3 linked regions of the Mus musculus genome follow. The protein of the gene in region 2 interacts with the protein of the main gene of each other region in a pairwise test. Links are inferred from orthologs where the notes say so. Each region holds a gene or a part of one and is shown on either strand. Other genes may lie near its edges.

Region 1 (2,397 bases), on a different chromosome or scaffold from region 2:
AATCATACATAAAGTTCCATGAAGGGAAGTCTGCATGCAGGTATTAGGGAAATGATTTGCCAGATCATATATGGCCCAAGACAGTTTTGATAAATCTAATCTTCCTCCAATTCCTATTTGTGGACTAAATCTCCACTGAAAGGAGATTGGTCTAGGCTCCCTATTCTAGGGTAAATAATCATTCTAAAAATGAAATGTATAAACTTCATTATTTCCAATGTAGTTACCACTTCTCACTCATTTTTACAATTTCTAGCATCTAACAATTACTTGAAATTCAAAAGACGTTTAGTTTATGACTGTTTTAAAAAGTCTGTGAGTTTATATTATCATTTGACACTTCATAAAAATCATCATATTTTTTCAGATAAAATGCTCTTACTTGATTCAATAGAAAAGTCATCTTCATTTTAGGATAAAATTTTCCATTAGTTTTTGTTGTTTTTGCCATGTTGCTACTTTAAATATTTACCTGAAATAGTGTATTGGATCAACAAATCACACCAGTGTGACATTTAGAATTATGATTAATCAACAAATTATACTTTTATTTTACAGATTTTTAATTGCAGAGGTGGTATAGACATGTACTACTAGATATGATTCTGATGGTGTCTATCCAATTAACTTTTACACACAGTTTAGTTTCCTGAACAGATTAGCTATAGATGGGGGAAGGTCTGTGGTGAGCATCTTACACACAGAAGAAGAAGAAGAAGAAGAAGAAGAAGAAGAAGAAGGAGGAGGAGGAGGAGGAGGAGGAGGAGGAGGAGGAGGAAGAGGAGGAAGAGGAGGAGGAGGAAGAAGAAGAAGAAGAAGAAGAAGAAGAAGAGAGAATTCTTTAATCCAGTAAATGGTAAGAGATACTGATTTGGAGACAAACTCATAGCTTATTATTTGACTTAAAGTGTCCTACACATATCTACTGAATTCTAAACCTGGTTGTATAAATTCAGAGCAGGAGATGACTGCATTAAAGCTAACAACACTAGACTCTTTCTTGGCGTTACAAAGCCTGATAACTGAAATTATATATAGGGTCTGTAAGACCAAGCGCTTTTGAAGTCCCTGTAATAACCCATTTTGGAAGGCACATAACTTGTTTGATGGAATCGTCTCCTTGCATTATATCACAAAGAGCTTTTTCATAGACTCTTAGGCAAGAGCACAACAAATTAACGAGCTTTGTGTAGTGCAAATTGGTGTCAAGAATGAAAATGAGGGCCTTGTGTTTTCTTAAGCCACACCCCCCAGTCGGGGTATATAAAGATGGTCTGAGACTACAGAATCCATCACACTCACTTCCCTCCTACCTAAGCCTTCCACTCCTGACATCATGTACTACACCGGCGCTGAGGGCTCTGTCTTCCCAGGATGCTACTGGGGCAGCTATGGCTACCCTCTGGGGTACAGTGTTGGCTGTGGCTATGGTAGCACCTACTCTCCAGTTGGCTATGGCCTTGGCTATGGCTACAATGGCTGCGGGGCTTACAGAAGATACTGGCCATTTGCTCTCTACTGATTTGCTGTGATCCCCCAGGCACAGTTCCATCTCTTCATGAAGGCTTTGTGACACCTCCAGGTTCCAGCCTCACCACCCTTCATCTTCCTTTCTTCATCAACCTCTTCCAAGAAGCTGTTTTTCAGATCTTACAACTGAGTCTCAAGCAAAGGAACTGAAAATCTAGATGATGCCTTACTCTGCCTTTCCTGGATGCTCTTTCTTTAGGACTTTTTCAGAAGCTTGGCAACCCATGTGGCACGTATTGCTTTGGAATATTTCAAGACTCTCATGATTCCCTGTTATGGTGAAGTTGTGGATGTGTCTGTCAAATTCTCAATAAATTTGTCTGAGCTTGCATAACATTTCATTTCTTGAGTGGAGTTTCCTTTCTTGGTATGTGCATATTTTCTGATACATTCACTGGGGGAGGGAAGCAGGTTTAATTTTAATCACTTAGCCTAAGGAGTTGTGAAGAGGCAAATAGTCTTTGATCTTGTGTGATACATTGGTAAGAGGTTGGTTACTATCCTGAAAAGAGTTGCTTCTCTGAGCTTTTCCTGTGTTGAGAATTTATTTTGGCATGGAAGCTGGACTGGAGTAAGACAGCCAAGGAGGGTTTTTATGAGACTGGCATCCCTCATGTCAAGGATACATTGTTTGGCATCCCTCTTCTATCTCACTATCACCTGCCTTTCTCTAAGTAAAACAGAACAGGAGAAACTTTCACAGTTATTCTGTGTTAGTGTAGATGAAACTCACTGTGATCTGTCTCCCAGGGAATAACGATTGCAGAATTTAACACCATGTCCCCTCTTTAAGGACTCTGGAGCATTAAGTAATAGAGAAGGTACACACATCCTTTGAGTCTGAGATTCTGTTAAGTGAAGAGATAA
Region 2 (2,636 bases):
AAGAAAGTAGAATGCACGGTCCCTAGTAAGTAGGTTTTATTTTCCAGGTCCTCCTGCTCAGTGACACTGTGTATGGGGTTTGTAGCCCACAAGGTTCTAGCAAAGGGCATCTTCTTAGGAGTCATTCTAGAGTGAGGTGACTAGAATGGTATCATTATTGGCTTTTAACAATGTTGTATGTTAAAAACCTAGGGTTGCTGAAGATGTAGCCCACTAGTAGAGCATTTGCTTATCTTGTACAAAGGGCTCTCCCCCTCCCTGGTAAATAAAACCCCACATTCACAAGAGATCCTGTGGGGTGGGCGTGGCTCTCCCTGAGAAGGATGGGATCTGGATTTACAGGCTACATCTTAGAGCTAGAACACTCTGGGTGAATGACAGATTTCCTTTCCTGTTTATGTCCTGGATTCAGAGAGAGTAGGCATGCTCTAGAACAAACTGTTGCAAACTTAGCTCCTTAAAATGCTGGTTGCTTGGTACTGTAGTACACTCGATAATCTTAACAGTGGGGAGGTTGAGGCAGCAGACTTCCTTTGAGTTTAATGTCAGTCAGGGCTACATAGCATGAACCAGTCAAGTGAGAGTTACTCAGACCCTGGGTGGACCTATCCCACTGCCTGCAAAAAAAAAAAAAAAAGAAAAAGTTACCGATTGGCACATTGCCATCTTCTTACGCAGCATCTGCTTCCTGTGTTCTTTCCCTGTGCCCACTGTACCTTGTTCTTTCCTTCTAGCCTCCACCTCCTGGATGCCCTCCCAACGCTGCTCAGCTCGCAGTCATGCAGGGAGCCAACGTCCTTGTAACTCAGCGCAAGGGAAACTTCTTCATGGGTGGCTCAGATGGTGGCTACACCATTTGGTGAGGAGCCATGGCCACTCCTGTGCCGGGGAAGACATCACATACCTTCAGCACTTCTCACAATGTAACTGCTTTAGTCATATTAACCTGAAGTTGCAGTTTAGACACATGTTTTTGGGGTGTCTTTCTGGTGTCCAAACTTTTGAGGCACTTTTCAAATTTAATAAGGAACCATGTAAGGGTAGCAGCCCCTCCCTAAAGCATTCTGAGGTAAGGAGGTATCCATTCTTCAAATGAATGTGAGTGAAGCAGCCCAAGGCTCTTCCTTAATTCCTCTGGAGTGATGCTGTGCCATGCTGGTCTTTGCTTCTAGTAATAAAACATCAAATTAGGTTTGGAGGGAACTTTGATCTTCCTAAGAATTAAAGTTGCCAAATTATTCTGATTGGTCTTTAATCTCCTTAAGTTTTTGATTTATCTTACTTGGTAAATGAAATGCATTAGCTGTCTGCCTTTTCCTTCCCATCCTCTGCCCAGCCTGTCCACTGTCCCTGCTCCTCCACCCCCTCCCATCACTATCCATAGAATCAGTGGTGCAGGACCGAAAGCCAGACTCAGCCCCTTGTCTCCCTGCACCTGTCCCACTTGACATTTTTTAACTCATCTTTCATAAGGATCCTCTGAAGCCCCCTGTGTGACCTGAGCACAGACTCCATTTCTTCAGGTTTTGTATATCTCCAGGCAAGGTGAAGGGTACCCTTCGGACCCGCCTCATAAACCATCTCTGCATCACCATGAACCCAGACTAGCTGTGGTGCCAGAAACCTGAACTTAAACAACAGTTCTCAGTGCAAACTGTCCTAGGAAAATTTAAAGATGACAGGCAGGGGAGAAGATGCATATCAAAAGCTTGGCTTTAAAGTCTAAGGGAGTTTTAGATCAAAAACTAGCTATCACTTCCTGAGTGTCTCATGTAGCCACTCAGGCTCCCAGGAGTTTCCTGAGGTAGGTTAGTAGGGTCACGTGAATGCCTCACTATGACATGACTTGAGTCCAGTGAGATCTCATTAGGATTAATATTTCAGGGATCCTTAATATTTTGATTTGTTTTCCGAGATTGGATTTTATTTTATCTGCTATTTCAGTTCATCTAAATCTTGTGTTCTGTACATGTGATGTTTGACTGTACCATCGACTGTTATGGAAGTTCAGCGTTGTATGTCTCTCTACACTGTGGTGCACTTAACTTGTGGATTTTTTATACTAAAAATGTAGAATAAAGACTATTTTGAAGATTTGAATAAAGTGATGAAGTTGCATTACACCTCACGCCAGCATTCTTTACTTAGCATGTGCTCAGATGGCTTCCTTTATATGGCAGGTCTTTAACATCCCACCCAGAAACCAGCTAGTGCTCCCATTGCTGTTTCTTCAATACGTCTTTGAAGTAAATGTAGGTGTGTCAGGCTAGGCTTGACTGCTCTCCTGGGTTCCACTAGAGATGATCCTGGACTCACAACTGTAATCCAGTACTCACGGGGCAGAGGCAGGCCGATCTGTGAGTTAGAGGCCAGCCTAGTCTACCCAGAGAAACCCTGTCTCAAGGGTAAAAAAAAGAAAAGAGCTTTACAGATGGGATTGAATGCCAGGTCTTTCTTGGCTCCATCTATATTATACACAGGGATCTGGGAGATTGTGGCCCTTGCCAGAATTGAGAACAAACCCACTTATTTCTCATGTGTTTCCAGTGATGCTTGTCTGGGACAAACCTGGGTTGTCCTCATTGCCAACTCCTGAATAGTTTTGAGAACTGTAGAACTTCCATTAAGTCCTTAGA
Region 3 (4,266 bases), on a different chromosome or scaffold from region 2:
CTGTATGCCATCTTTCTGCGTTTGTTTCCCCAGCTGTCCTGGAAGCACAGCTGGCTGTGTGTCCTTGGGCACGACCCTCTTTGCGGGATTCCTGTTTTGGATAGTAGTGAGTAAACCAGGCTCAGAGAAGTCCACTAAAGTGTAGTGACTATATCTCAGGGGACTCACACAGCGAGGGACAGATAGGGCAGACACTCCTCCCGGAATTCTAAAGCCAAGGCCAGCTTCATTCTGCAAGAACAAGGCAGACACACCTGAATGCTCTGGCCGCTCCAGCAGTCACCAAGAAAGCCTGCGGTCTCGCTCCTGGAGACTGCCTACTAAGAGGAGCACAGAACGAACCTAAAGGGTCCCCACACATGCCAGGCCTCCTAGAACACAAGCCTTATTCCCATGGAACAAATATTGGGGAGAGGACAGCTTGTTATTCCAATAGAGGTTGAAGGAGTGCCCCTGTTCTCAGACTAGATTTTACACTCAGGAAAATCCAGGCCCCTCATGGATGGTTTTGTTTGTCTTTTAGATCAAGTCTCAGAGTTGCACAGCTGGCCTGGAACTCAGGGCTTTCCCTGAGTCCCCAGAGTGCTGGGATTACCAGCCTGCGCAGCGGTGCTGGGGCAGGTTCTGGCCTTTCTGTGTGGTACCAGCTCAATGCCCCGGGCTTCTGCATTAGCTACCTGGTGTGTTAAATGAGAATGTTGCACTCCATCCATCTCCCTAAAACAGCCTGCAAGAAAAACAAGCCCCAGGGCAGACCCCACAGCCCAACGCCTTTCCCTCACCTCTCTAACCCAGCCCTCAAAAAGGGTTTCGATGGGCAAAAACTGCCAAAAGGGCGAGAGAAAAAGCTCATTTTCTGAGTCCAGTGAGAGGAAACCTATAGATCCCCCCCCCCCCCGGGCGACCCTTGCTCCGGTATCTCTGCAATGGTTTTTTTTTTTTTTCTGGCCTTTAAGGTTTCTGCGTCGTAGAGTGGGTGAACTCAGCAGAGGCCTAGCATGTTTCGAAATAAGAGACCCCCGCGGGGGGCCTACCTACGGGGCTCTGCACACGGGGGTGGGCGGGAGCTGCGGACCTGGCTAGAGAGAGTTCGGGAAAAAGGGCGGGACTGAGCATAGACGCATTGCGGAGAAAGGTAGGGGGCTGGTGTGTCGGGCCAGGGGGTGGGACCGAAAGGCGCTGCGCATCTGTTGAAGGAGTGGATGCGTAAGGAGAAGGGGAGGAGGAACCTTTGTCCACTGTCAACCTGGTTGGCGGTGGGATAGTGTGCTGGCAAGGAGGCGGGCTCTCCTCCAAGTGCACATGCGCAACAATGGCTCTGGGATGAAGCTTTTGTTGGGAAAGCAAGCGGGACTCTTATTTGGACAGTGATCTGCTGCGCATGCGCGGCGCGTCCAGAGGCGGTGGGTGGTATATTAGGCGGAGAGGCGGGGTCGCCCGAGCTGCCGCGCTGGCATTTTCTCCTGGACGCGGAGAGAGTGCGGGTGCCGAGAGCCGGACAGAGCCATTCCCGATCCTCTTGAGTCGCGAAGAAGGAAACAGCGAAGGGATTGGGGTTCGGCCCTGAGGCAAGGTGAGGTTCGCCCCCAGACGGGGCATCTGCCCCCCTGGCGCGGCGTCCTTCCGCCATTCTTTTCTCCCAGTCCCTTCACCCTGGATTCGGAAGCCCCCTGCTCTGCCTGCTCCCGGATTCAGACCCTGCTCCCGACCCTTTTCTAATTTGAAACTCCGTCCGTCCCCCTGAATCTTTTCTCCAGTTCCCTCCCCGAATCCTATTTCCCGACCTTGATCCCGTTAGATGGTTCCTCTGAATTCAGAACCTTAATTCAACTTTTCGGACGCCCGTGTCTCCCCGCTCGCCGCCCTCCCTCCCCGCCCCCGTAAACTACCGCATCCACAGCTCCTCTCTGACTCCAAAACGGCAGCGCTGAAGCTTTTCCCTGGCCGCGTCTGAGATTGGAGATGGTCTAGCGGGACGACCGGTTACTTTTCCCGCTCCGCTTAGGCCTGGTTCTCCCCCCGGACTCGGCACCTCACCCGCCCCCAGAATCAAAGCACACACGCACACAGAATTCGGTCCTATGTCTTTTCCTTCTGTAGTGTAATGCCCAGCTCCTCTCTCCCACACCCCCCCCCTTAGGCTCTGCTCTTGCCAGGGAGACGAGAGCTATGGCTCAGAAACCGGACGGCGGTGCAGGCCTCCGCGGCTTCCAGGTGAGGACCCCGCTCCCAATTCCCCCATTTTTCCCCTGCTGACAGTTTACGCCCACCCCCGGCCCCTTAGGTCGCGCGAATGGCAGGATCTGATTTTGCCCTTCTTCCGGCCTAGACACCGCGGGCTCTCAGATTTCTAGCGTTTATCGAATGGGGGGGAGGGGCGGCCCTTTTCAGCCATCGGTCCCTGCTTAGAGAAAGGGGAGACCCTGTTAGTCAGGGCATTCTGCCCAGAGAATGCGGGTTGGGTAAGGAACCATTTTTTTTCCATAACCCTGACGCGTGTAGAGCAGTCTGTCGCCCCATCCCCCAACCTCTCGCCTCCACCCTCCCTTTCTCCACGCCGCGAGACTCCCCCTCCACCCTCTCGGCTTATCCTCCTTGATTCCTCCCTCCTCGGGTCTTGAGCTCCCCACCTCAAGCCTAACCAGTCCGTCTCTAAACCCATTTGGGGCTCAGAGCTTGCACCACATTCCGCACCAGCCCCTGCTGCCACAGACTGTCCCTCACCTTGCCCTGCCCCCTCTACCCTTAATTAAATTTTGTTCGCGCCCCGCCTCCCTTTGACCCGCCTCTGCCCCCACGTCTGAGTACTGTGACGCCTGTCTACAGCTCCCCTGCTGCGTTGCGCCGCGCCCCCCCCCTCCTCTGGTCTGCCATGTAAGGCTCAGAGATTGAAATGTTGCCCCTCCTGTGTTTGCAGGCTGAGGCCTCTGTTGAAGACAGCGCCTTGCTTGTGCAGACCTTGATGGAAGCCATCCAGATCTCCGAGGCTCCGCCCACCAGCCAGGCCACAGCAGCTGCCAGTGGGCCAAATGCTAGTCCCCAGAGTTCACAGCCCCCAACTGCCAATGAGAAGGCTGATACTGAGGTTTCAGCAGCTGCTGCCAGGCCTAAGACAGGCTTTAAGGCCCAGAATGCCACCACAAAGGGGCCAAATGATTACTCTCAGGCACGTAATGCCAAGGAGATGCCCAAGAATCAGTCTAAGGCGGCCTTTAAGTCACAGAATGGCACCCCTAAAGGTCCACATGCTGCCTCTGACTTTTCCCAGGCAGCACCCACAGGCAAATCAGCTAAAAAGTCTGAAATGGCCTTTAAGGGTCAGAATAGCACTAAGGCTGGCCCCGGTACCACCTACAATTTCCCTCAGTCTCCCAGTGCCAATGAGATGACCAACAACCAGCCTAAGACAGCTAAGGCTTGGAATGACACTACTAAGGTCCCTGGAGCTGATGCCCAGACCCAGAATGTAAATCAGGCCAAAATGGCTGACGTAGGGACCAGCGCAGGTATCTCTGAAGCTGATGGTGCAGCAGCCCAGACATCAGCAGATGGCTCCCAGACTCAGAACGTGGAGTCCCGGACTATAATTCGGGGCAAGAGGACCCGCAAGGTGAGATCCCAGCTAGCTTCCCTTTGCTTTGGGCTCTCTCCTTTCTTCCAATTTCCTTGGCTCCAAACACAATAAAGGGCATGGATTTATCTGTATTTTGGCACAGTTGTAGGGGGTGCTAAGGTAACTATTATTCCTGAGCCCAGGTTGTCCACAGGCTGATGATGAGTTGATACAAGGACACAGGCAATATGTGTGTAGGCCATCTTACATTTTGACATTAAACACCATGTCTTAAGCTAGGCAGGCTCACACAGAATCAATTAGATCTTGAAGATGTACCTCACTCTCTAGAGAGAACAGAGTCAGGAAGAAACGAGTTCAGGGTGAAACCAAGCACTGTCCGTAGTCACACAGGAAAAGGAGAAATCTAGGTCCCACTTTCTGTTTGTTTGTTTGTTTTTTCCTTTGTCTGGTTTGGAGATGAAACGCCTGTCTGAAAGACAAAGAGAATCAAAGTGACCAGTGGCTAGTGAGGTGTAGGTGAAGATTCCTAGGTACTTCCTAAGATAGCAACTGGGAGGACCCAGGATTAATAGTGACCCTGAAATTTTCTTCTCTCTAATTATACAGGTTAATAACTTGAATGTGGAAGAGAACAACAGTGGGGATCAAAGGCGTGCCTCACTGGCCTCAGGGAACTGGAGGTCTGCTCC

The links. The genes of interacting proteins can lie anywhere in the genome.
Region 1: the proteins of Dazap2 (region 2) and Krtap8-1 interact in binary tests that used the Homo sapiens proteins (3 or more experiments, as listed by UniProt). The two-hybrid records come from large-scale screens. The link is inferred for Mus musculus from reciprocal best matches to the Homo sapiens genes DAZAP2 and KRTAP8-1.
Region 3: the proteins of Dazap2 (region 2) and Maged1 interact in binary tests that used the Homo sapiens proteins (3 or more experiments, as listed by UniProt). The two-hybrid records come from large-scale screens. The link is inferred for Mus musculus from reciprocal best matches to the Homo sapiens genes DAZAP2 and MAGED1.

What each region holds. Positions count from the first base shown.
Region 1 is NC_000082.6:89,486,847-89,489,243, reverse strand, and holds Krtap8-1 (keratin-associated protein 8-1), read left to right. Parts: upstream 1-1,291; 5' UTR 1,292-1,336; coding exon 1,337-1,522; 3' UTR 1,523-1,870; downstream 1,871-2,397. UniProt on the Homo sapiens protein: In the hair cortex, hair keratin intermediate filaments are embedded in an interfilamentous matrix, consisting of hair keratin-associated proteins (KRTAP), which are essential for the formation of a rigid and resistant hair shaft through their extensive disulfide bond cross-linking with abundant cysteine residues of hair keratins.
Region 2 is NC_000081.6:100,618,634-100,621,269, forward strand, and holds the end of Dazap2 (DAZ-associated protein 2), read left to right. Parts: intron 1-734; coding exon 735-863; 3' UTR 864-2,128; downstream 2,129-2,636. UniProt on the Homo sapiens protein: In unstressed cells, promotes SIAH1-mediated polyubiquitination and degradation of the serine/threonine-protein kinase HIPK2, probably by acting as a loading factor that potentiates complex formation between HIPK2 and ubiquitin ligase SIAH1.
Region 3 is NC_000086.7:94,539,199-94,543,464, reverse strand, and holds the start of Maged1 (melanoma-associated antigen D1), read left to right. Parts: upstream 1-1,439; 5' UTR 1,440-1,573; intron 1,574-2,140; 5' UTR 2,141-2,169; coding exon 2,170-2,214; intron 2,215-2,917; coding exon 2,918-3,610; intron 3,611-4,183; coding exon 4,184-4,266. UniProt on the Homo sapiens protein: Involved in the apoptotic response after nerve growth factor (NGF) binding in neuronal cells. Inhibits cell cycle progression, and facilitates NGFR-mediated apoptosis. May act as a regulator of the function of DLX family members.